Linked DNA regions of Caenorhabditis elegans. The protein of the gene in region 2 purifies or fractionates together with the protein of the main gene of each other region. This does not show direct contact. Each region holds a gene or a part of one and is shown on either strand. Other genes may lie near its edges. The genes, in order: M04F3.4, wars-1 and lars-1.

Region 1 (4,183 bases), on a different chromosome or scaffold from region 2:
GATGCAAAATCAACAAGTTCGCATGAGAACTAGTGCGTTTTCAGTTTTTTAAATTCATTTGATAATTTTGAATTGAAAAAAACCGCTATAATTTGAAAAAACAAAAAATGTGATTTTTCAATGGAAGAAATTCAAACAAAGAGATTTTTTACTTTCCAAAATTTATAAATTTTTTCTCAATTTTTTCGGTATTTCCAAATGAAAAAAAATTTAACTTAAATCTGAATCCGTATTTAAAAAAAAGTTAAAATCAATGATGACTCCAAAAAATTGAAAAAAACCAAACTTTCGATTTTTTGAAAATCTAAAAATTTGAGAAAATTGTACGGAAAAGACGAGAAAAAACGGGATATTGAAAATATGCTGATTTTAATTTTTTAAAGAATAAATTTCTTCAAAAAAAAAACTGGAAATTATTAAACAAAATTTTTAAAAAGCCGAAACATCTTTTTCTTATCAAATTCAACATTTTTTATGAATCTATATTTCTTATATGTATTTCCAAAAAATAATTCAAAAAAAATTTTATTTTTATTTTTTGATTTCTCGAAAAACTAAAAAAAATTATTTTTTTTAGTTTTTCGATTTTCATAAAAATTCCTAAATCTACACCATCAATTTCCAGTCAGAATTAAAAAATTTTCAGCATCCGCATCTCGACCACCACCACCAGCCCGCCGTACATCCCAAATCACTGCAGCCACCCCGACCGCTCCTTCAGTTGCCGAGCAACGAATGAATGGATCAACTATGGGAAGCCGTCAATCTCTGGATTCGGCTGGACTTTACGATCCAGCACATCCACAACAATTCTATCAAATGTCATCTTTCAATCGATCGAATAATGTGAATGGTCAAGCTTCAGCGACTGCAGCAGCAGCAAAATTTCGAATTTAAATAGATTTTAAATTTATTTAGTTTTTTTTTTCTTATTTTATTCGGAGTCTTTTGAATTGCAAAAATACTATGTTTGATACCAAAACGGGCATTTTCTATCTCTTTTTTCTATGTTTATTTTATTCCTTTTCCTTTTAAAATGTAGAATAACATTCGTACTGTATATAAAAAGCATGTTCTCCCTCAATTTGGGATCCCAATTGTTCTTTCTGACGAAAAAGATAAACGATTTTTGTTTTTTTTAATGCGTTATTCATCCAAAATATGTTTTATTTTTCAGAAAGTTTATTTGGACAGGCAAATAATTATTCCAAACATTTTGAAAAGTCGAAAAAAGAGAAAAGTTTATTTTAGGAAAAAAATTACTATATTTTTTGCATTTTTTTACCACAAAACTACGGTACCAGGTCTCGACACGACAAGTTTTGGTAAACATAAATGGGACTGCGCCTTTAAAGATTACTGTAGGTTGAAAACTTCGTTGCTGTGGTATTTTCATTTATTTTTATCTAAAGCTTGTGTGTTATGTTTTTATTATGTTATGCTGAATTTTTTAGTAAATAAATATATTTTTAATTAAATTAAAATTTTAGCGAAAAACTGTGTGCACCTTTAAAGAGGACTGTAATTTCAAACTGGAATTGTTTCGATTTTTCATAGTTTTTTCATGATCAGAGTTATATTCCAGCCCCTTTGAGATTCTCCAACTAGAAATATTCGATGTTTTTCAAAATATTACGAAAACTTCCTAACTATTTTCGTACATCTCAACTGTTAACATTCACTTTTTCATCACCTTATTTCACAATATTCATCATTTTCCCATCCCCCTGAAGAGAGTGAATGACTCACCACGGATAATGTGACGTCACTACTCAACAGTGTTTCTGGGCTCCGCCCACATCGATGCATCATCACCGCACACATTTTGTTGTTGTCTCACCGTCTGCGTCTCTTTTGAGTACTTCACATTCTTCTCTCATTTCATTTTATTTTTATTTTACCAATTCACACAGATTTTATCCATTTTTAGATGGCTTTTCAACAACCTAACTTGCAACAAATCTTCTCTTCTGTCGACAAGGATCGGTATGTTTTTATTAATAGTTTTAATAGTTAAATTGATATAACAATTTTAAAATTGGAGTAAATAAAATCAATAAATATGTTTCTCGTTGAAAATTTATTGTCAAAATTATGAATAAAAAAACAAAAAAAAATTTCGCTGTACCCGGTCTCGACACGACAAATTTCTGTTTTTGGAAAAATGTGTGTCCCTTTAAAGAGCACTGTAGTTTCAAACTTTTATTGCTGCGGAATTTTTATCGATTTTTCATAATTTTTTGATACAAAATATATTTATGTTTAAAAAAAATGAAACGCTCAAATTTGTATAAAATCACGAGAAAAAATATGAAAAATCGATGAACTTTGAAGCTATAGTACTCTTCAAAGGCGCGTATCTTTTAACAAAAACCAGAACTTGTCGTTTCGAGACTGGTTACCGTATTTTATGCGCAGAATATAATTTTTGTATTTTTTCAAGAGCCAAGAATCGCAAAAACAAACATTTATAAATTTAAAATTTTTATTTATATTTTTTTATTTAATATTTAATATTTAAAATTTTATTTATTATTTACATAATATTTAAAAATTAAACAAAATTTCCCAGTTTTCAGATCAGGGCAAATCAGTTCCGATGAGCTTCAAACTGCTCTCTCCAACGGAACATGGAACCCATTCAATCCGGAAACTTGCCGTTTAATGATCGGAATGTTCGACTCGAATGGAGACGGCGCAATCAATTTTCAAGAATTCCAGGTTTGAAAAAATATAAACCAGAATTTGTGAAAATAATCATATTTTCAGGCTCTGTGGAGATATATCAACGACTGGACAAACTGTTTCCGTGGTTTTGATACCGATGGTTCGGGAAATATTGATAAGAGTGAGCTGACCAATGCTCTCACACAATTTGGTTAGTTTTTAATCATAGAAAAGCGATAAGAAAATCGGAAACTCGATGACTGATCATATATTTCTTCAGGATACCGTCTCTCTCCACAATTCTACAACATCCTTATGCACAAATTCGACAGATCCCACAGTAATCGAATCAATTTCGACGATTTTATCCAACTTTGCGTCGTTCTTCAGACCCTCACTGCTGCCTTCAGGTTAGAAATCAGGGCTAAAATTGATTTAGAAATTTAGAGAAAAGCTCTTTTAAAAAATTCAAAATTTTTCAACAAAATTAAATATTACTTTAAAAATATTTTTAGATGGAACTAACTATTTTCTATGTTTCTATAGTAATTTTTGACCAAAAAATTTGGAGTATCATACTTTACAATCTGATTACTTAATTTTCAGAGACGTCGACACGGACCGCGATGGAGTCATCACCGTCGGCTACGAGCAGTTCCTGACAATGGTCTTTTCATTGAAAATGTGATTTTAAGAGTATTTAGAGAACCAACCACAATCCATTTTCGACCTAACACCTAGCACTTCTACTAGCTTCCATTCGAAAAAAAGTTAAATTCAATTTCGTTTTGTTTTCAGGTAGCTCGAAGTGTGTTCAATCGTCTGGGTTAATAATGTGATTTGCCGTTCCTCATGCTCTCTTTCCTCCTCGGATTCTTCGCATCATTAGCGTCTAATTAATTATGTTCAAATTTACTAATAAACGCTTTTAAAGTATGAATCATTCATAGTTTCGAGTATCAAAAGTGAATTTCCCAGTGGGATGAAAGAAGGATAATGAAAATAATGTTACAATCAGCAGTTAAATAGCGGAAACAGTTTCCTCGTCGACAGTGGTGTAGACCAATCCGTTCTCGACCATCTCACCGACGCACTTACGAACAATAGAAATGTTCGTTTCTTGAATTTGCTCAGCTATCCACGAAACATGTCGACCTTCGTCACGAGAACCCTCTGGCACAGCCATCAAGACGGCGGTAATGCGCTCTCTGAGCACATCTCCTTGGTTCGCTCCCGTCATCACTTTTTGCGGTTGAGCATACAATCTCTCCTTGGTGTCCGATCCTTGCGAGCTTTGATGCGATGTTTGTGACATTCTGCTCTTCGGTGGTGCCAGCATTCCTTGGAAGCCATCCGAGTCGACCGACTTCAGTTTCTCGCTCACGTTCTTTTGGAAGAACAGACGTGCAGCTTCTGCCTCGAGCTCGAAGATCGTGAAATCCTTGTCGTCTTCAACTGGAGTGATGTTGAACAGCATAATGGCTGAAATTATTTGAATTAAGATATATAATTGAAG
Region 2 (8,012 bases):
TTTTTGAGAAAATCCAATTTTTCGGCAAAAAATTTCAAAAAACCGAAAAATTTTGAAAAAAGGCCAAAATTGTAGCGGAAAACTCGATTTTTCAGCGGAAATTCAAATTTTTTGGGAACTTTTCTGATACTCTGGTTGAAAATCCAATTTTTAGGCCAAAAATTTCAAAAAAACCGAAATTTTTTGAAAAAGGTCAAATTTTAAGGCTAAAAAATCCAAAAATTCTGGAAAAAACGGGGGAAACTAAATTTTAAGCAAAAAATTAAATAAGAAAAAACACCAACAACGAGTAAAAAAAAAAAGGAAAATCTCAACAATTGGGCCTAAGCCTGAGCCTAAACGGCCTAATATTTATAGGCCAATGGCCGAACTTTGACAAATTCTTCGACAGTCTCATCGGTGACCAGCTTGCGTCGCTCCTGCATTTCCAGTACAATTTCCTGTACTTTTTGTGTGGCAAGGGCCTTCAATTCACCCGAAAGCATTTCTCCTTTCGTGTAATTCTCTCGGATTTCGGCCAGCTTCTCGTCGTCGTCGAGGAAGAAACGAAGGAATTGATATGAGATATCCACGTCACAGTTGCCACCTTTTTCGCGATGCTCTTGCACAGTTTGTTGACCCCCCGAAAATGCGTATTTGTTGATCTGAAAAGGACAAAAAATTGAAATTTTTTTTTCGAACTTTTTAAAAAGTTGTCCCGACAATTGCGGGGACATGGGACACTCCAAATAATTTTTCAGTGAGATTTTCGAAATCCCCATGAAATTTGCGGAATTTTGACACCCATATTGACTATGTTCTGAGAATTGGAAATTTCAGGTCGAAATAGGCCGATTTTAGGCCGCTTTAGACCCAATAATAAAAATTATTAAGCATTCATTTCTTACATTTTGATTACTTTAATGAGATCAATATAAATTGCCATGATTCTAAAAAATATGTTTTTGGGCCGAAAATGGGCCTATTTAGGCCGATTTTAGGCTGTTTTGAGAACAAAACTATACATTTCCAAAATATAGGCTATTTATATTCCATAAATCTAGTGAGTAGATATATATACCAAAATCTAGAAATGTATATTTTTAGGCCGAGAATGGCCTATTTCGGCCTGAATTTTCAAATTTTCAGAACCTAGTCGACATGGGTGTCAAAATTTCGTAAATTTCATGGAGAATTCGGATTTCATGAGGAAAAATTATGAAAATCCAAAGAATCGCAAAATTTAGTAATTTTTTTTTTAATTTGAATTTTTTGGACTTTTTTAAAATTTGTCCCGACAAGTGTGGGGACATGGGACACTTCTCGTATTTTTTTAAGTGCTATTTTCGAAATCTCCATGAAATTTCCAAAATTTTGACACCCATATTGACTATGTTCTGAAACATTGAGTTTCCAAGCCGAATTATGCCGATTCTGGGCCGTTTTGGGCCGAAGCGTGTGAATTCTCATAACCTAACCAATATTTAGCCTACATATTTGCAAGCACAACATATTTTGACCAAATTCCAAAATTGTATATTCTAGGGCCCAAAGTGGTCTAAAATCGGCCTATTTCGGCCTGAAAATTCGGGCTCACCGAATCTAGCCGATATGGGTGTCAAATTTCCGCAAATTTCAAGGAGAATTCGAATTTCGACATGAAAAACACGCAAAATTCACAGAAAATGTGAAAACTTAAAACGGTGTTGTCAGCTCTTTTTAGGCCGATTTAGGCCGACCTTTCAACCAATTTTGCCTCATATTGCATCAATTTTCCAACAAATTTTAGTTTTTATACTACGTGATGGAATCAAAAATCATACAAACTACAATTTATATCTATTCCAAAAGAAAAGAAAAATATGATGATAAGAAGTACAAAATAATTCATCATTTATCATCATTAAGTGATTATTTTTCAGAGAAAACTCATTTTTCCATCAAAATCATCATTTTTCACTTATTTCGACCGCCTAATGATAACGACTATGCTCATTTCGAAAAAAAAACACGTTATTTTCCAGTAAAATTGTACTTCAGGAGTTTCTGGTACGTTTTTTAAATGTTTTTTTTCCAAAAATTGAGTTTCCAGGCCGAAATAGGCCGTTTACAGACCGTTATGGGCTCAAAAAATATTTTTTTTTTTTGGAATCTAGTGAACGCATATTTTTTTAATCGAATATGAGAAATTTGTTTCGTGTAAGTTCTCGAAAATTTTGAATTTTAGGCCTGAAAAGGCTTAAGCTCTGCCTATTTCGGTCTGGAAATTTAAAACTTCAAAACCTGAGTCTATGTTAAACATAATTAATCGTTTTTAAATTTTTTTTAAATTTCAAGGAAAATTCTTTGTCCGAAATTTCAGGCCGTTTCCGGGCTGTTTAGGCCCAGAAACTTTTTGAGGCTCAGAAAAACACGAAGGTTGCGGAGAATTTGAATTTCTTGACGAAATGGGCAATTTTCAAAAAATTTTGAATTTTCGGGCCGTTTCAGGCCACCAAAATTTCACAAATTTTCGAAAAAAAAACTATGTCAGGCCGTTTCAGAACCGAGCCTGTATATCTTCCATAAATCTACTTGGTTGATATATATTGACAAAAATGTACGATTTTCGGCCCACAATGGCCTATTTCGGCCTGAAATTACAAAATTTCAAAACCAAGTCGATATGGGGGTCAAAATTTCGCAAATTTCGTGGAGAATTCGATATTTTAAAAGAAAAATTACGAAAACGCCAGGAATCTAAAATTGCATTCGTTTTTTCGCAAATTTTCAATTTTGGAGGGATTTGTCTAATTTTCGGTCGTTTTTTCATGAAAAAACTCAATTTTCCGTCGTTTTTTCATGAAAAAACAAAATTTTCGTTCGTTTTTCCGTGAGAAAACTCAATTTTCGGTGGTTTTTTCACGAAAAAACTCAATTTTCGTTCGTTTTTTCATGAAAAAACTCATTTTTCGGTCGTTTTTTCAAGAAAAAACTCAATTTTCGCTGCTAATCACCTTATTCTTAATCTGTTTCGCCGTATCACTCAAAAAGATACACGTATTCGGCTCAGAAGCGCTCATCTTCGTCTGTGCTCCCGTAAGAGCCGGTAGGAATGTGGAAAAGATTAAAGATGGCTTAGAGGCCTTCAATCTTGGAGCCACGTCACGTGTCATACGGAAAAATGGGTCCTGGTCGATGGCACACGGGATCAGACATGGAATATCGTTTCGTTTTCCGAAAATTTGTGGAAATGATGAAGCAAAGCACGGAGCCGCTTCGACAGCCGGAAAAGCCGCTTTTCCGAGACAATCCTCGGGGGTGAAGCCGAAAATCGCTCGGGCCTGATTCGTATTGACGACTTTCCAGATTTTGACGATATTCTCGTAGAACGGTGGGCACATGTAGTCGAAATTGTTGAAAATGAAGGTTTTTGTCGGATCAAAACCGACGGAAATGATGTCTTTCATGTTTTCACGGGCCATTTTTTTCGCCTCGTCGACCTGAAATTTGAATGAAAAAATGAACATTTTTTAGACTTCAAAAAATTTGTGTCCCGACAATTGCGGGGACATGGGACAGACACTCCACGTAATTTTTCAGTAATGTTTTCAAATTCGCTATGAAATTTCCGAAATTTTAACACCCATATTGACTAGGTTCTGAGAATTGGAAAGTTCAGGCCGATATAGGCCGATTCTGGGCCGTTTCGGGCCTAAATTTGTACATTTTGAAAAACCTAGCCTATGTGCATTCTATAAGTGGCACTAATTTGATATAAATTGGCGAAAATCTAAAAATGTATATTTTTCTGGGCCCACATTGGCCTATTTCGGCCTGAAAATTTAAACTGTCAGAACCTAGTCGTTATGGGTGTGTCAAATTTTCGCAAATTTTTTGGGGAGAATTCGAATTTTAAAAGGAAAAATCTTAAAATTTAGTAATTTTTTCTCAAAAATATGATTTTTTTGACTTTTTTTAAATGTGTCCCGACAATTGCGGAGACATGGGACACTCCACGTGATTTTTGAGTAATGTTTTCAAATTCTCCATGAAATTTCCGAAATTTTGGCACCCATATTGACTATGTTCTGAAAAATTGAGTTTCCAGGCCGAAATAGGCCAATTTCAGGCCGTTATGGGCTCAAAAATATAATTTTTTGGAATATAGTGGACACATATTTTTAAAATCAAACTTTAAAATGTTTTTCGTGTAGGTTCTGAAAATTTTGAAAATTGGGCCTGAAAAAGCCTAAACTCGGCCTTTTTCGGTCTGAAAAAAAAGATTACTAAAATTTTGGGATTCTCGTGTTTTTAGTAACTTGTTATATGAAAATTCGAAATCTTCATGCAATTTCCAAAATTTTGACACCCATATTGACTGGGTTCTGAAAACTTTAAGTTTCCAGGCCGAAATAGGCCGATTTCAGGCCGTTCTGGGCCCAAAAATTGAAGTTTTCAATGTATAGTTAATGTGTTTCAAGCCATAGTAAATATCGACTCGATTCTGAAAACATACACTTTTGGGCCCGAAAAGGCCCGAAATCGGCCTATTTCGGCCTGAAAATTCAATGTTTCAGAACCTAGCCGATATGGGTGTCAAAACTTCGGAAATTTCATGGAGAATTCGAATTTTCACATGAAAAATTACGAAAATCCGGGAAAAATTTCGAATTTTCAGCCAAAAAAAAAAAGCTCGGCTACCTTCATATCTTTCCACAAGAATTTCTCGTCATCAGTCATTTGAATGACAAGTGGCACATCGAACACCTCCTGAAGCCATTTTGTGAAGATAAATGGGACTAAATGGCCCAAATGTAGGCTTCCAGACGATGCTCCGCGGCCTGTGTACAGGTAGAATGGTTTTCCCTGCTCTTTTCGATCCAAAATTGCCGTCAAATCACGATGAGCAAAGAACATTCCACGGCGGAGCATTGGGGAGGCTTTGTGTCCGGTAACACGTTCGAAACGGGCAATTATCTCCTCGTCGAGCTTCCGGCAACCGAATTTCACTGGAAAAATTGAGAAATTTTGGTGTAAAAACTGTAAAAATTGGTGAATTTTTAGCGAAAATTTCAGTTCAAATATGGAAAATTTGAATTCTCCATGAAATTTCCGAAATTTTGACACCCATATCGGCTAGGTTCTGAAAATTGGAAATTACAGGCCGAAATAGGCCGATTTCAGGCTATTTTAGGCCTTAGGTTACATAATTCGGAATTTGGACGAAATATATTGTTCTTGCAAATATCTAGAACAAATATTGACTGGGTTCGGAGAATTTATGCACCTCGGCCCAAAACAGCCCTGAAATCGGCCTATTTCGGCCTGAAACTCTAATTTCTCAGAACCCAGTCAATTTGGGTGTCAAACTTTCGGAAATTGTATGGAGATTTCGAAAATTTTACTGAAAAATTATATGGTGTGTCCCATGTCCCCGCAATTGTCGGGACAAATGGTGAAAAAGTCAAAAAAATGCAAATTTTTGAAGAGAAATTACTAAATTTTGAGATTTTCGTGTTTTTTCCCAACAAAATTCGAATTCTCCTTGAAATTTGCGGAAATTTGACACCCATATCGGCTAGGTTCTGAAAATTTAAAATTTCAGGCCGAAATAGGCCATTCTGGGCCAAAAATATCTATAATTTTTTAGATTTTAGTCAATATGTAACAAGTTAGTATATTTATGGAATAAGGTTCTCGAAATCTACAATTTATACTTTTCAAGCCCAAAACGGCACTGAAATCGGCCTATTTCGGCCTGAAATTTCAAATTTTCAGAACCCAGTCAATATGGGTGTCAAAATTTCGCAAATTTCATGGAGAATGCGAATTTTGATGGGAAAAATCACACGAAATTCAGTGGAAACACTTTTTTTTACAAAAAAAAAATTCGATTTTAGCCAATTTTCTTGGGGGTTTAGGCTCATTTATCTGGATTTTCTCCGTGTTTTTCAGCCACCAATTTTCTTCTCCGTACCAATAAGCTTATCATAATCGATTCCAGTGGCTTTTGTAGTGGTAACCTCCCATGGTGTAACCCGATCTTCTTCATCTTCCTGAACTCCTCCTCCGGCGGCTCCTCCGTTCACTTTTAAATTTTCAATTTCCGCCGCAACTTGTTCGGCTGGAGCTGCCATTTTTGCTGTGTTGAACCCTGAAAAAAATAAATTGGGGTGAATTTTACGAAGCTTTTTACAAAAATTGAATAAAAACCAGAAAAATCTGAGAATTTTGTGTGAAAAAATCGAAAATTTTCCATAAAATTTCACATTTTTAAAGCCATTTTTCTACAAATTTTCAGAAAAAATATAAAATTTGTCGAAAAATCAAATTTTTATGCAAAATTTTAGGGACAAAAATTGAAATTATCGAATTTAAAAATAAATTTTCAAAATTTACATTTCTAGGCGAAAATATGGATTTTTAGTAAAAATTGGCAATTTTCGGGCAAAAATGAATAATTTCTGATCAATATCGAATTTTTGGAAGAAATTTAGGCGTTTTTCAGCAAAAAATCCAATTTTTTAGGCGTTTTTTCGGATTTAATTGTATTTTTTTCAGTGTTGTGTCTGGAAATTTCTGGAAAAAACTGGATTTAAAAAAAAAAAATTTTCCTGAAAAAAAACCAAATTTTCACGAAATTTGCTCCAAACAATGTGTGATTTTTAAAGGATCTCTATGCAAATTTTAGGAAAATTCAAATTTTATGTTATTTACTCGAAAAATCTAATTTGTGACAAAATTTTCACCAAATTTCTGAAAAAAAAACGTTTTTTTAAATAAATTTTAACCGAAATTGCGCGATTTTATAATGATTTTTTAGTAAATTTTCAGAAAAAATCTGAGTTTTTATTAAATTTTGAGGATTTTTATGTAAAATTTTAGAGCGACAAAAATTGAAATTATTGAATTAATAAAATTCGATTTTCGGTAGAATTTTAATTTTTCGCTCAAAATTGGAATTTCTAGCCGAAAAAACGATGAATTTTTCCGGCAAAAATTCGCATTTTCAGGGAATTTTCACGGTAAAATATAATAAATTCTGATTAAAATCAAAATTTTTGGAAGAAATTTCAATTTTTTGCGTTTTTCAGACAAAAAACGAATTTTAATTTGATTTTTTTTCAAATTTTTCCTGCAAAAAAAATCTCAAAAATAAGAAAAGAATAGGTAAAAATTGTGATAAAAAACACAAAAAATCGCAAAAAAAATCACAAAATTTCCACAGAAAATGTATATATTTGCAGTCAAAAAAAAATGTGGTGGGGGGATCAGTCAACAAAATAAATTTTTAGAAAAAAGTTTTTAAAAAAGATCATAATTTGATGAGAGTTAACAAAAAAATAAATTAAAATGGATAAATTAACACAAAAATCGTAGGAAAATTCAATTTTAGCCAAAATTCGGGTGAAAATTCTGAAAAATACAGAAAAAGCCAAATTTTCTGAATTTTAACATAAAAAATGATGATGGAAAATTGCAGAAAAATCGATTTTCAGGGGATTTTAGGAGAGAAAATTCTGAAAAATATAGAAAATTACAGTAAAAATTCAATTTTTGGCCAAATTTCGGGTGAAAATTCTGAAAAATACAGAAAAAGCCAAATTTTCTGAATTTTAACATAAAAATGATGGAAAATTGCAGAAAAATCGATTTTGGGCCAAATTTGCTGAATTTTCCATCTATTTCGGTGGTGGCTCTTCAACTGCTGGAGCTCCTGGAGCCGGTGCTGCAGTAGCAGCAGGTTCTTGCATTTCATGATCCATATCCTCGAAATGAATGTCCGCTTCCTTTTTATCGTCCATTTCCTGCTTTTTCTTTCTTTCCATAGCTGAAAATATCGGAAAACTTAGGTTTTTCAGAGATTTTTTTTTTCGAAAAAAATCAAAGTTTTTGCTACTTTTGTGGCATTTTTTGCGAAAAAAATGGATTTTTTTTGGAAATTTCCAATTTTCAGAGGTAAAATTTCAGCGAAAATGCGATTTATAATTATAATTATAGTATATATGCAGCACTAAAATGTACATTTTTCGGCCTAGAATGGCCTATTT
Region 3 (7,684 bases), on a different chromosome or scaffold from region 2:
CTCCAACGGATAGTTGCTTCTTGCAGCATTCTACTGATTTCGCTGAAAAGATTTTTGTTCGTTATATTTTATTCCAGATATTTTCTTCGAAAAATTTAGTTTTTTAACGCAAAAGTATAGTAATTTATTTTTGTTTTTGTTTGTACACGATCGAAATATTTTCAAATGAGGTACTGTAGCCTCACTCCTTCCAGATTTTGATGTCACATGAATAATAATTAGTAGACTTTAAAATCTCGAGAAAACAATGTGTTACCCACTTTTCATTTGGAAGTAATTCGATCGTGTCGAGACCCGATACCATAATTTTGCGATAAAAATCCCATATTTTCCCGAATGAGTAATAATCAAAATATTCACCACAAGACGAGGAAGGTGCTCCGGAGCAATTTGTCGTTTTACCGCTTTCACATGGTGACGGCATCTGTTACTGGAAATACGGAAACTTCCGATAAAAAATAGAAAATCACATTTAAAATATTAGGTTTGAAATACTTAGATAACAAATCACAGTTTTCAAAAATCTAGTATAATAACAAAAAAACCTTTTCATTCAACTTGGAAACAGGGAGAAAACAGTGAAAGCTGAAATAGGGATTCGGGTACGTATAAATTATGAAAATGAATAGAAACAACAAAACTCAAAAAGTGGGGATATAATATTATTAGAAACAAGAAGAACAAATAATTTTTTAGAAAGAATCTAGTTTTCTGGGACGTTAGCCTTGTACACAATAGTACGCCCAAGATCGAACTTTTCACTTCCAGAAGTCACAGAAATCTTGTTATCAGCCTCGAAATTGAAAATGTCTGCGTCGGACAATTGAATGTTCTCCTCGAATGGATTTCTGTACGAAATCATCTGTCGATCTCCCCAAACCGCGTTCTTGTATCTCCAGAGGCTCACTTCGAATTTCGCTGAAAATATAATAAATTGAATTTATTGTTTTCGGAATAGGGTTTTCTCATACGTTTGATTGCCTTGCTGATGCGTCTCATCTTCCGAATAACCATTGAAACACTGTCTCCATTAACAATTGGTACATCAACATCGAACATTGCATTGCAGATTTGAACATTTCTGGCGACAAGTTTGATTGTTGGCTGAAAATAATTATGATGTCATTATTATTGGTACGCAGAAAAATTCCCCTCTTGAAATTGATATGGAAATGCGCTCCACTGCCGATTGACAACGCCCCGCCTCCTACAGTTGGGTCTCGTAAGGTATTTGGCGTGCTTGAAAACTGCAGAGACGAATTTAAAATGTTTGAATTTACGGTTTTGCCGCCAAATACCTAACGAGACCCATGGTTAGAAGGCGGAGCATGTTCCCATGCCCCTATAATATGTTTCCTTACTCTATTCGGCGTGAAATTCAACATTGGCACCAGCGGTACTGTAGTCTCAACAATATTCGCATCAATTCCCTCCTCATCAGTATGTCGAATAGTAACACGATCCAAATCCAAAGCGTTCATAATAAAATCAATATTCTCGTTGAGAATTGAAGTTTGATCAACTGGACTAGAAGAAGCCAATGCTGAAACACCCTTCTGTTCGAATCTTTCCTTGATCATTTGAACGAATGGCATCGCTTTTTTGGCGAATTTCTTGAGTGATTCTTCTTTTCCAATGAGCTGACTGATTGCTTTATTATCTGGAAGTGCTCCATTATTAGCCTTGGCTTGTTTCTCAAGAATATCAAGAATAGTCTTCTGCCATGGTGGATATTCTTTAGCAACATAGATCACTGCTTCAGTTGGAACTTCTGGAATCTCCTTCAGTGCCTTCTTCTTTGGAGTCATGTAGGTTTTCAGTCGGGCACGGAATTCGGCCAGCGATTCCGTGATGAAACGAGCACCAATGGCGAGCTTCTCATCGACAGGATCGACAGTTGGCCATGGAGCATTTACAATCAAGCCGTCTTTTCCGAGCAATTGCCAGATGTATTCAGCAATATGTGGGCAGATTGGTGATAGGATGAGCATCTAAAATAAAAAACAAATTAAACTTTTAAAGGTGTCGTCTGGCGTTTTTTTTTTGCCCCAAATGACAGAAATCAGTCTTAATCGAACGAAAATAGATTTTAAGAAATTTATAGAAATTTCCTAAACTTTTTTAATATACGGCAATACTGATTTGTTTTTTTTCTCGTTTTTCTAGAATTTTTGTTGCAGAATTTGAAACAATTCTTTCAATTTTTACACTAATAATCGGTATCTGTCATCTTGAGAAAAAAATCTTTCTGAAAATATACCTGAGTTTCAATGAATCTAAAGACAAGCGATTCGCTCATTGGCTCATCAATTCCAGCGCAAAGTTCTCTGTATGTATCTCTAATGGCTTGATATTCGAAGAATCCAGTTTTCAGTGCATCCTTGAAGTTGGTAGCTTCATAATTTTGTTCTGTGGCAGCGATCAGTGAATTCATTTCATTTGCAAAAACTCGATCAGCGAATTTCTTTGCATCTTTTCGGAGAAGTCCGGCATCCCGTTGTTCAATCATTTCCTTGATCCATTCGATCATAGTGAATAGTCTCAGAATAGCTGCATCTGCCATTGCGTACACAAAGTTAGCATCTTCCAAACCATCCCCAGCATCGGCAAGACTCAATCTCATACCATCTGCGCTGAACTTTTCGATGGCTTCTTCCAATGTCATAAAGTTTCCAGTGGATTTCGACATTTTCTCATTGTTCAAGAGCAAATGTCCATTGGCCCGAATTCCTTTTGGCCATTTTGAAGTGTCTGTTGGCCAGATTGCAGCATGATTGAACAGAAGATATGTCAAATGATTTCCGATAAGATCTTTTCCAGATGCTCTCATATCAATTGGATACCAATACATGAATTCTTTCCTCAATGATTTAAGCTTTTCCTCCTCAACCGGCATGGTTTTCGAATCGTAAATTTCTCCGAGGAATACATAACTCCACGAAGCATCTGTCATCTGATCAGCTTTAATTCCAGCAGGTCCGACGACTGATCCATCAAAAGCTCCCTGTTGGAGAAGATGAGCAACTGTATAATAAGCATTGTAGATTGTAGAGTCTGACAGAGATTCGATGAGGTATTGAGTATCCCATGGAAGTTTGGTTCCAAGACCGTAACTTCTGGAGCAAGCATACTCGTGGAGCCAATCGACTGTGGTTTCCAATCCACGGCGGGTCTGAAAATTTTAATTCAGCGGAATAAGAATATACTACATAGACATCTAAAAATGAGAATTTTCGACATATCTTACGCGCAGAGGACGCAGGCAACGAATTACTGTAACTTCTGTTGTCTAATGGGCCGTTATTGCGTCATATTCTTTAAATTAAACTCCAATTTCAACAAAAAGGGTTTTAAAAAAATCGTCCGTAGAGTTGGAGTAATTTGTAAACTATGATATTCTTTGAACAAATTTTTTCGATTTTTAGATAAAATTGTGGTTTTATTTAGAGAATATGCTGCAATAAAAAACCCTTTGATCGGCAAGTTACAGTAACTCGTTGTCTGCGTGGCAAGACCTCTGCGCGTAAGAGATGGCGAAGATTCTTATTTTTAGACGTCTACATAATATTTTTTCAAAAATAATTTAAAAAAATATACCTCATCATTGAAAGTTCTGAGTGGCTCAAGAACCTTCTTTGCAGCAGCCTTCCATTCAGCCTCTCCATAATTCAAATACCATTGATCACACAACGCAACGACGCACTCATCTCCAGATCTGCTCATCACCTTCTTCTCAGGCTCCACATATTTCGTGGCAAGACCTTCAGCTGTCAAATCATCTTGAATAACTTTCTTGACGTCGGCTGTCTTCTTTCCAGCATACTTTCCGACGAGCATAACTCCATCGTAGAATCCTTTCAAATAAACTTCTTTCTTCGCCTCTTCCAGTTTGTCCTTCTCATTTTGAGACTCAATTTTCAGCCTTGAGCACATTTCAACTGCAGCCAAATCCCCAAGTCCTTCGATTTTAATAATTGGAACTGGTTCGAATGGAAGAACCATCTCATCAGTCAATCCATATTTTTCTCTCAATGGCTTCTTCTTCTTGAGATCCGACAAAGCTGCAAAATCATCTGGAGAGTCTGATGGTACACTTGTAACAACACCAGTTCCCTTATCATCCTTGATAGTCAACATTGGCAATGCATAAACTCTTTCGTATTTTGCGAGAGGCGCAGAGAGTGGAGCTCCGAGAATCTTGCTTCCAGCGATTTTCTCGAGTCCCAGGACATAGTTGACTTTACCATTTTCCTTAGTCAATCCTTGATATGACATGATTCTAGCAGATCTGGCAGTTGCCACAAATACTTGTTTCTCGTTTTCCGTCGCATAAAACACGGAATATTGAATATCTGGATGGAGATAACAATTCGTTTGTCCGTACATTGTTTCAGGTCTCAAAGTAGCCGCAACGAGATAAATATCCTCTTTGATATGGCTCAAAGCTTGAGGTTTTGGATCAAGAACTTTCAGTTTAATAAGAGTATATTCTTGTGGACCAACACCTTCTCCACTGGCACGATCGTGATCCATGCATGGTTGACCGTCTTTCGGTGAATAAATTGTATATCTCTTTCCGAAATCGATCTTCTTAGCTGCACGAAGAAGGTTGAACTGCCAACGGACGAATGAGTCGAAGTATGGATTCACGTCGGTGGTGATGAAGGAACGACGCCAATCAGCCTGAAAAATGGCAATTTTTAATTTAATAATTTCGAAATGTTTCTTTTTTAATTTTGTGATAAGTTAAATTTTTTTGAGAATTATATTATTATTAAAATGGAGAAGCAAAAATGAGGAAGTAAGGCATTTTGTTCCAATATTCATTAAATACAATTCAGGGATATAATATAGAAAAATATTTCATTTATCTGAAAATAGCTTTGATTAAGGTTGAAAAATTGGAAAAGTGCCAAAAAAATCGCCGGTAAAAACCGACCAATTATCGAAATTTTTTTACAGGTTATTTTCAACTTTTAATCACTAAAATAAAAACTATTTTCAGATAAATCAAATGTTTTTTTTCCAAATTCTATCACTAAATTTTAATCAAAAATATTGGAAAAACATAATAATTTAGTACTATTTTTACAGAACTCACTTTCAACACTTTAAGATGATTTCAACACTTTAAATCTTACCTTTAGTCCCATTTTCTTAAGATCAGCAATGCAATGTGGTGGGAAATAATATAGCCAATGATTTGGATCCGAGAATTCCTTAATTTCCTCATCACACAATCCCAGAGACTTCATAATTTGCCATTGGTATTTTGCATTTCCAGTTTTTGCCACCAATTTACTCTTCTTTCCTTTACTCTTATCCTTGATAATCTCATCGACAGCCGAAACTTCTTCTTTAACTTCCTCGACAACATCTTCCGGGAAATTTGGTGGATATCCGAAATCTTGCATTTCTCTTTTCAATTTATCTGCACATGCTTTAATTGGCATTCCAGTACAATGAAATCCGAATGGAAAGAGCACTTCTTTGCCTTGAAGACGTTGGAAACCGGCGGCAAATTCACATTTTGAAGCTGAGAATGTGTGTCCCAAATGAAGACGTCCATTCATGTATGGGAAGGGAAACGTGACGAGGTACTTTGGTTTTCCACTGAAATTTTTTAAATTGAAAATAATTCAAAATTTTCAGAAAAAACTCACTCATCCCTAGCATCCGCCTCGAAAGCCTTCTTGCTCTCCCACAGCTCCTGAATGCTCTTTTCAATTTCTTGAAGTTGAGCAACCTTCTTCCGCTCCTTATTGATTTTCGACATTGTCGATATTTGTTACCCTGATATTTAAAAATAATTAAAACCTTTAAAAAATTCTTTTAAGCAATAGATTACATCAGAAAACACAAAATGATGAAATTTACTTGGTTTCTATTTGAAAAAAATCAATAAGTGATTAGAAAGCAAACAAGTTTGTGGAAAAAAATCGATATTGAGATTTAATTGTCGATAAAAAAGTTCAAATTTTAAAGGGAACAACTTAAAATAGGCCCATTTTCTACCGTTCTAAAAATCCTGCATTATCATGGCCTAGTTTTGCAATGGCATCGACCGCGGCCACGTCAACTTTCCCAACTTTTCATAGGGGTTTCAATCACTCGGAGAAGGCGATAAAATAATACAATATTATAAAAAATGAAGAAAAATGTACTTTTCGAGTTCTCGAACAATAATTTACCAATTTATAGAAATACAATTAGTGATTTTTTCGGAGCAACAACAGAAATTGGATTTTTTCTACAATTATTAGTAATCTATAACAGGCTAAAGGTACATTAAAATAGTTTATAATAAATTTAATTATCTTTAAATTTTTTGGTATATAAAAATTCTACAACTGCTACAACATGAAACATATTGAAAAGGAATTTTTGCAATATTTCATATTCGACTGATTTCAGGAATAGGTCACACTGCACCATATTACTTGGAATTAAATTCGTAAATGCTCCGTTTTGCTCTTAACGAATCAAGTACGGTTTCTACTTTTGAATGGAATTTTGCAAAATATACTTAGTTCATAAAATTATTCCTTTTCCATATCCAATGAAGGCCAATTTATCAAGTTGGACACACACATTGGTCAGATTACAACAAGTGGGATTACACTCAACATCACTTTCTCCTTGCTATAAATACCGGCTGACAGACTTTAATAGTGACTTGAGATAGGTTCTTCGCTGGACGAACTTGACTCGATTTGTATTAATTCATCTAAATTTCTCAAAGCAGAATGTTCCGAAATCTAGATTTTAGTAAAATAGCCATATTTAACTAAATATGTTTCCATAAATCTTCTGAAATTCTCCCAATTTTTAATTGTTTTTTAACCAAAATTTTAATACCAAAAAATTTAAACATCTTCTTAATAGAAGGTACACAATAGATCATATATTTTCATAGTGATACTACTGATTAACCCAGGCAAAACATGATATATCCTAATTCGCAATATACAAAAAAAAACATTCCTTATCTCCGAAAATTTCCAGTTCTAATTTCACTTATTGCGCAACCATGGACGTCCGTCGTCTTCATCACTTTCTCACCTTGTTGTATATCACTACGCAACAAACTTATATAATTTTACCCGATATGCCAAGAACCAGATCTGTTTGAGGCAGATGATGTCCAGCTATTTGAAGGTTTTGTTACACTTCTAGTCAACCCGATTTTGGGAGTATTTAACGACGATGGAGATTGACCGATTTTAACAATCTTACACACTTCTAGATGAGGAGATCTATTATTTTTCTAGCGGCGATTTGTGGGGTCACGTTGGCTGAAAGAAAGGTGAGTTACTTTGGACAATTCGTACCTACGAATATGGATAATTTTTAGGCAAGACAGGATAATGTTGGTGACGATTATTCTGATTTTTCATCTCAACCGGTCAAGAATGCTGGTGCCAACCATAATTTGAAACAAGTAACCTACTCAACAATCGCACCGAAATTCGATATTCCAACTCGTGCACCACTTTTGAACCCAAATCCGATTGGACGCAATCAGAATCCCGTTCAAACTACCACAAAGAGGCCAGTTGTCGCCTATAGAAGAGGGTATTTCTTCCAGCATTACCCATGGGATAGGCTTCCAAGAAGATATCTTCTTCGTCCAGGAATGACATATGTATATCCACCACAGTACACATTCGCAACCTACCGTTAT

Evidence for each region.
Region 1: the proteins of wars-1 (region 2) and M04F3.4 fractionate together in Caenorhabditis elegans (co-fractionation; one large-scale study listed by BioGRID). This does not show direct contact.
Region 3: the proteins of wars-1 (region 2) and lars-1 fractionate together in Caenorhabditis elegans (co-fractionation; one large-scale study listed by BioGRID). This does not show direct contact.

Annotation. Positions count from the first base shown.
Region 1 is NC_003279.8:4,770,772-4,774,954, reverse strand, and holds M04F3.4 (EF-hand domain-containing protein), read left to right. Parts: upstream 1-1,884; 5' UTR 1,885-1,930; coding exon 1,931-1,986; intron 1,987-2,579; coding exon 2,580-2,721; intron 2,722-2,769; coding exon 2,770-2,878; intron 2,879-2,947; coding exon 2,948-3,077; intron 3,078-3,273; coding exon 3,274-3,351; coding exon of another isoform or gene 3,352-3,355; exon of another isoform or gene 3,356-3,465; coding exon 3,466-3,469; 3' UTR 3,470-3,607; downstream 3,608-4,183. Other genes in the region: M04F3.5 (IMD domain-containing protein), read left to right, coding at 1-32, 647-897; rpa-2 (Replication protein A C-terminal domain-containing protein), read right to left, coding at 3,689-4,149.
Region 2 is NC_003283.11:18,853,107-18,861,118, forward strand, and holds the start of wars-1 (Tryptophan--tRNA ligase, cytoplasmic), read right to left. Parts: upstream 6,116-8,012; 5' UTR 6,099-6,115; coding exon 5,939-6,098; intron 4,971-5,938; coding exon 4,663-4,970; intron 3,462-4,662; coding exon 2,976-3,461; intron 645-2,975; coding exon 345-644; 3' UTR 1-344. Other genes in the region: emb-4 (Intron-binding protein aquarius), read right to left, coding at 7,644-7,792.
Region 3 is NC_003281.10:4,181,009-4,188,692, forward strand, and holds lars-1 (Leucine--tRNA ligase), read right to left. Parts: upstream 5,794-7,684; 5' UTR 5,777-5,793; coding exon 5,664-5,776; intron 5,614-5,663; coding exon 5,142-5,613; intron 4,684-5,141; coding exon 3,598-4,683; intron 3,173-3,597; coding exon 2,261-3,172; intron 1,992-2,260; coding exon 1,362-1,991; intron 1,105-1,361; coding exon 972-1,104; intron 919-971; coding exon 704-918; 3' UTR 541-703; downstream 1-540. Other genes in the region: putative mitochondrial carrier C16C10.1, read right to left, coding at 1-42, 361-424; R74.2 (FIP (Fungus-Induced Protein) Related), read left to right, coding at 7,247-7,306, 7,355-7,684.